Linked DNA regions of Kluyveromyces lactis. The protein of the gene in region 1 purifies or fractionates together with the protein of each later gene. This does not show direct contact. Links are inferred from orthologs where the notes say so. Each region holds a gene or a part of one and is shown in the gene's direction. Other genes may lie near its edges. The genes, in order: DBP3 and CBF5.

The links.
Region 2: the proteins of DBP3 (region 1) and CBF5 purify together in Saccharomyces cerevisiae (affinity purification with mass spectrometry; 3 studies listed by BioGRID). This does not show direct contact. The link is inferred for Kluyveromyces lactis from reciprocal best matches to the Saccharomyces cerevisiae genes DBP3 and CBF5.

What each region holds. Positions count from the first base shown.
Region 1 is NC_006039.1:1,344,615-1,348,226, reverse strand, and holds DBP3 (RNA-dependent ATPase DBP3), read left to right. Parts: upstream 1-1,511; coding exon 1,512-3,026; downstream 3,027-3,612. Other genes in the region: HNM1 (Hnm1p), read left to right, coding at 1-1,129; MNN10 (alpha-1,6-mannosyltransferase), read right to left, coding at 3,385-3,612. UniProt on the Saccharomyces cerevisiae protein: ATP-dependent RNA helicase required for 60S ribosomal subunit synthesis. Involved in efficient pre-rRNA processing, predominantly at site A3, which is necessary for the normal formation of 25S and 5.8S rRNAs.
Region 2 is NC_006040.1:407,894-411,331, forward strand, and holds CBF5 (pseudouridine synthase CBF5), read left to right. Parts: upstream 1-1,411; coding exon 1,412-2,836; downstream 2,837-3,438. Other genes in the region: KLLA0_D04774g (uncharacterized protein), read left to right, coding at 1-953. UniProt on the Saccharomyces cerevisiae protein: Catalytic subunit of H/ACA small nucleolar ribonucleoprotein (H/ACA snoRNP) complex, which catalyzes pseudouridylation of rRNA. This involves the isomerization of uridine such that the ribose is subsequently attached to C5, instead of the normal N1.

The sequences.
Region 1 (3,612 bases):
CATGTACGCTTTGACCCATCCAGATTTTGAAGTCAAGAGATGGCATGTATTCGTATGTTTCCAAATCTTGCACTTGTTCTTGATGATGTTCAACTGTTCTGGTAAGGCTTTGCCAGTCATTTCTCAATCGTCATTGTACATCTCATTGATTTCATTTTTCACCATTACAGTGACCGTGCTAGCTTGTTCCCATGGTAAATATAACGATGCCAAGTTCGTTTTTGCTACTTTCTATAACGAAACTGGCTGGAAAAATGGAGTCATTGCCTTCATTGTCGGTTTAATCAACCCGGCATGGTCCTTCTCTTGTCTAGATTGTGCCACTCACATGGCTTTTGAAGTGGAAAACCCTGAAAGAGTGATTCCGATCTCTATTCTATGTACAGTGGGCATTGGATTCCTTACTTCTTTCAGTTACGTCATCGCTATGTTCTTCTCTTTACAAGATCTAGAGGCTGTTGCTTCATCCAATACCGGAATGCCAATCTTGGAAATTTTCCGTCAAGCTACCAAATCTACTCCAGGTGCTGTAGTGTTGGGTTGCCTCATCCTTTTCACCTCATTTGGATGTGTTATTGCATGCCATACATGGCAAGCAAGATTGTGTTGGTCATTTGCTAGAGACAACGGTATCCCATACTCTAAATACTGGGCTAAAATTGATCCTGAATTGGGTGTGCCATTGAACGCGCACTTGCTGTCATGTGCCTTGATTTCGCTATTGGGTTGCTTATACATGGCTTCCACCACCGCTTTCAATTCTTTAATTACTGGGTGTATTGCGTTCTTATTGTTCTCATACAGTGTTCCGGTCGTATGTCTGTTGGCGCGTAAACGTAATATTAAACATGGCCCATTTTGGCTAGGAAAATTCGGAGCGTTCTCCAATATCGTTTTATTGGGTTGGAATCTTTTCGCTTTAGTCTTTTTCTGTTTCCCAGCTGTCATGCCAGTGACAAAAGATAACATGAATTATGCATCAGTCGTCATTGTTGGGTTCCTATTATTCTACTTAGGATTCTGGCAATTTAAGGCAAAGAAAGTTTTCTATATCAGAGAAGATGAAAACACCGATAGCAATCAGGAGTCAGTAACAACTGAAGCTTTCCATGCTTATGATGCTAAATGATAAACACTGCTTCCTATCGCATTTCGTTTCTTGTCTTTTTTAACGTTTATTCACCTGTTTAATATACCTACTAAATATAATACTTGCATTGTCTTTTGAATTATTGTTACTAGATATATACGAACTGAGGTACTGCTGTATCGGAATTAATTGAGAATATATTATCAATTATACGGATCCTCCGTTGCTATATTAATTATATATTTGTCTCTTGTTGTAATTCAGCTGGCGTCAGTAAAAAGAAATGTTTTTTGATTATTGAAAATTTTATATAACAAAGCTGAGATGAGATGAGATGACTTAAGTGCTTTCGAATGATATGATTGCAGAATCTGCAGTAGTAGTGATACTTAACCATTAGAGCTCAAGCAAATAGTCCAGAATGTCAAAAGATGAATTAAAGGACAAGAAGAGAAAGGTGGAAGATGAGGAGTTGAAGAGTAAGAAAAAATTGAAGAAGGACAAGAAAGACAAGAAAGACAAGAAAGACAAGAAAGACAAGAAGGATAAGAAGGAGAAGAAAGAAAAGAAGGAGAAAAAGGATAAGAAATCAGAAACTGAAAGCTTTGCTGCTTCTGCCTCTCAATCTGATATTGATGAATTTTTGAAGGAAAATGAGGTTACAGTTAGCGACCCATCAGGTTCCAATATTGTACCATATTTAGACTTTTCCCAAGTGTCGTTTATTGATCAGATTCAAAAGGAAATTTCTAAGTTCCCAAAACCAACTCCAATTCAAGCTGTTTCCTGGCCATATCTATTAGCTGGTAAGGATGTTATCGGTATCGCTGAAACTGGTTCGGGTAAGACTTTTGCTTTCGGTGTTCCAGCTATCAACAACATTGTCACATCAGGAGACAAGTCAAGTTCCGTCAAGGTACTTGTTATCTCACCAACTAGAGAATTGGCCTCTCAAATTTACGATAATTTGATTGTTCTTACTGACGCGTGTGGTTTAAGATCTTGTTGCGTATACGGTGGTGTTCCAAAGGATCAGCAAAGAGAAGATCTGAGGAGATCCCAAGTCGTTGTTGCTACTCCAGGTAGACTGTTGGATCTAATAGAGGAAGGCTCTGTTGATTTGAGTCATGTTAACTACCTGGTCTTGGATGAAGCTGACAGAATGTTGGAAAAAGGTTTTGAGGAAGATATCAAAAAAATCATTAGACAAACAAGATCCACCTCTAGACAAACGTTGATGTTTACCGCGACATGGCCAAAAGAAGTTCGTGAACTTGCTTCAAGTTTCATGAGTGAACCGGTTAAAGTGTCTATTGGTAACAGAGATGAACTGTCAGCAAACAAAAGAATTACTCAGATCGTGGAAGTTGTGGATCCGTTCAGAAAGGAAAAAAAACTGTTGGAACTGTTGAAGAAGTACCATTCAGGCCCAACAAAGAACGACAAAGTTTTGATATTTGCCTTGTACAAAAAGGAAGCCTCTCGTGTTGAAAGAAACTTGAAATACAACGGTTACGATGTTGCTGCCATTCACGGTGATCTTTCTCAACAGCAAAGAACTCAAGCTTTGAATGAATTCAAAGCAGGAAAATGTAACTTACTTTTAGCTACTGATGTGGCAGCCAGAGGTTTAGACATCCCAAACGTGAAAACCGTTATCAATTTGACTTTCCCTCTAACAGTAGAAGATTACGTTCACAGAATTGGTAGAACCGGTCGTGCTGGTCAATACGGTACCGCACACACATTGTTCACTGAGCAAGAAAAGCATCTTGCAGGTGCCCTTGTTAATGTCTTAAATGGTGCTGGTCAACCTGTTCCTGAGGAGCTCAAGAAGTTCGGTACTCACACAAAGAAGAAGGAACATAGTGCGTACGGTGCATTCTTCAAGGATGTGGACCTATCAAAGAAACCAAAAAAGATTACATTTGATTAATTTAAATCCGTTATAAAGACAATTCTTGTATTTTTTAGCAATCACCCCCATTATGTACAGTAGTTCATTCAATACAGAGTAAATAAAAGTTTACAATTACTCTTGCATCGAAGTTTGTACAATGAATGTTCACGATAAAAATTGAAATTAAAGACGTATTAAATATGCGATATTCAAACAATGACTTTGAAAGGCAACGAAGAATGGTGTTGAAAGGGAAAGCATTAAAGTATAAAAGGGGATACTCTATCGAAGATCTTCTTGTACCTTCGCCTTTTATTTTACAGTATTAGTACAATGGAGCAGTGCATAATTTTTGAAATACAACTGAAGTGATAAACAAAAGGAAATTGAGAATCTAAAAGAACATCGAGTACCATCTACGGTGAAGAGTTTGCATCAGTTGAGTGTATTGGCGCATTTCACCCCAGCAGTCTCTACCAAAGTTACACCCAGCCATATTGACAACGAAGTCATGTTCCTTTTCGTTATAGAAATAGCGCAAGTCATACTTGAAATCTGCACAAGCACCTGGTGGGAAAGCATTGATCTGCCTTAGTGGTAGAAATGCGATCTTCTCTCTAAT
Region 2 (3,438 bases), on another chromosome or scaffold:
GGGAAATTGCTAAATTAAAAGATCTCTCAAAGGCTGAAAGAGGCAGAATTTTAAAGGTTTGGGACAGAACAGACTACGAGAAGGCATTGGATTCAAAAGAAGAGGAAATCGTTAAGTTAAACCACCGTATCAGTCTATTGGATCTGATAATAGACAACAAGGTGACAGAAATAAAAAATAATGAGAGCAGATACAGGGGACTTGAGACAAAAGTTGCAATTTTAAGTAATGAAAACATAGTTTTAAAGTCAAAACATGACGAGGTTATCAAAAAGAAGAAGGAAGACCTTGCATTTTTCAATGAGAAGTTTCAAAAAAGGTTGTTAGCGATGAAACGTGAAATAGATAAAAATGCTGACATGTATCATAATGAACTACAAAGCTACAGGACTAATTACGAGAAAACTTTAAGTAGTGCCTTAAAAGTTACTCTTAAAGCAGAATCTGCGCTTAGTGCCATATACAGCAATAATGTGGATAGATTCGGGTCTACAAACCGGACTTTGAATTATTTTATGAAGAAAAGAGATATGTTCCAAAATATCAGAGACAATATGGTCTCCAACAAGCCCAAACCAGAATACAAACCTGCGATCACCATTACAAGTGTTAGTGATGGCATAGAAAATAAAGACAATAGAAACGAAGAGTTACACTACATATCAGAACAAAAACAAGGTTTTAATGATTCACTCCGTGAGCTTAAAGTAGCCAATGTGAATAGCAACTGTTCCTCAAGGTCGAAACACAACGCTAAACAAATTATACAAAAGCTCCGAGAGTGGAAGCAAAACCAAAACACATCAGAGCTATCGCCAGACAAAGAAGATTCCATATTTTCAACTGGAATTGAGACAGATTATTCAACTTCAAATATCGCACAGTTATCCACTAGGAACTGGGCTAGCGCTTTGAAGAACAACTATAACGCCAAGTACTTGGAATCTATCTGAATGAAAACAGCGTACTAAGTTAACAGAATTTAACCTAACATAATGAACATATTAGCAGCTAGTTTAGTCCATTAAATAAAAATGCAAACTCACTTCCTAGAAGGCTATAAAAACTACTCTCACTTGGCAATGCTATTTCCAATGTCTGTCATATATACTTAAACGTCAAGGTGAATATAATTCATTACCCGGAAATAATTGCTTTTTGAGATATCTGAAAATTTTCTACCTGAAGAAAAAAATTTGATGAAGACGATGAGATGAGATGAGCTTTAACAAGAAAAGTATAGAGTTCTATTAGAAGTAGATTCATCTTACTGGACTAAAAACTGTCACTTTAGTGTAGATTCTGCTTTACGATATTGTTGCTACTATCCTTTTATTGTTTTCTCTCGATATTTGAAGGAGATAGTGTACTGGATTGTTCGTTAGAAAGCTAATAAGTAAGATAGAGATCGATGTCTGACGAATTTGTTATTAAGCCAGAGAGTGTTTCACCATCTAGTAACACTAGTGAGTGGCCTTTATTGTTGAAGGACTATGACAAACTATTAGTCAGAAGTGGTCATTACACACCAATTCCAGCTGGTGCCTCTCCTTTGAAGAGAGATTTGAAGTCATATATCAGTTCTGGTGTCATCAATTTGGACAAACCTTCAAACCCATCTTCTCACGAAGTTGTTGCTTGGATCAAGCGTATCTTGCGTTGCGAAAAAACAGGTCATTCTGGTACTTTAGATCCTAAAGTCACTGGTTGTTTGATCGTCTGTGTTGACAGAGCTACCAGATTGGTCAAGTCTCAACAAGGTGCTGGTAAAGAGTATGTTTGTATCGTTAGATTGCACGATGCCCTTAAGGACGAGAAGGAATTGGGCAGAGGTTTAGAAAATTTGACTGGTGCTTTGTTCCAAAGACCTCCTTTAATTTCTGCTGTTAAGCGTCAATTACGTGTCCGTACCATTTATGACTCCAACTTGATCGAATTTGACAACAAGAGGAACTTGGGTGTTTTCTGGGCTTCCTGTGAAGCTGGTACTTATATGAGAACTTTATGTGTCCATCTTGGTATGCTTTTAGGTGTCGGTGGCCATATGCAAGAGTTGCGTCGTGTTAGATCCGGTGCTTTGTCCGAAAACGATAACTTGGTCACCCTACATGATGTTATGGATGCACAATGGGTATACGATAACACCAGGGATGAATCCTACCTAAGAAAGATCATTCAACCATTAGAAACTCTATTAGTCGGTTACAAAAGAATTGTTGTCAAAGATTCTGCTGTTAACGCTGTTTGTTACGGTGCCAAGTTGATGATTCCAGGTCTACTTCGTTATGAGGAAGGTATTGAATTATATGACGAAGTTGTATTAATCACCACCAAGGGTGAGGCCATTGCAGTTGCCATTGCTCAAATGTCTACTGTCGATTTAGCTACTTGTGACCACGGAGTTGTTGCCAAGGTTAAGAGATGTATCATGGAAAGAGACCTATATCCAAGAAGATGGGGTCTTGGTCCAATTGCCCAAAAGAAAAAACAAATGAAGGCTGACGGTAAGCTAGACAAATATGGCCGTGCCAACGAAAATACTCCAGAGACCTGGAAGAAGACTTACGTTTCATTGGAGAATGCTGAACCAACTACCGCCCCTGCATCCAAATCAGAAGAAAAACCACTGATCAAAGAAGTAGAAAAGAAGGAAGTCGAACAGAAGGAAGAATCAAAGGAAGAATCAAAGACACCAGAAGAAAAGAAGGACAAGAAGGAAAAGAAGGAGAAGAAGGACAAGAAGGAGAAAAAGGAAAAGAAGGAGAAGAAGGAGAAGAAGAGAAAGGCTGACGATGATGAGTCTTCCGAGAAGAAGAAGAAGAAGTCAAAGAAATAAACGACTACAATCTAAGTCCTTCATATCATCGATCGAAATTTCAAAACTGCATAGAGTTTATCATTTAGGTTATGTACACTGTAGAATATTTTTAATCATTGAAAAACGTATTTCGTCACGACTGTTTTTTGTACCCTGTGTCGATGTTGTATATCATTGTATTCGTATATATAAATTTGTAAATTATTTATGCGCGTGTGAAGACACCATTACGTCTTCAATTGAAGTAATGGCAAAAAGTAATGGTAAATGTATGAGGTAGATAGAAGATTTGATAATAATACTTGGAGTTTTTTTTTTTTTGGCAGACATCAATTGTTCGGAACCAAATAGAAGTCGGGAAACTTGCAGATTGGTATGTCTTTTATTTGCATGATGTCATTTGCTCAATAAAAAGGTAAATGAAGGTTAAAATCTATGCAAATGGTTACATTGTGAACAGAAGTCGAGGTGTCACAATGAAACGTCCCGTTTCTTACTTTACCAGTATTAACAATCATTGAATAATTCTCCTTGTATTCTCTCGCATATTATATTGCGTCCTCAACTTATGTTGCGTGCTTCATTTACCGAAGGATATTTTTTTGAAAATAGTGTACAGT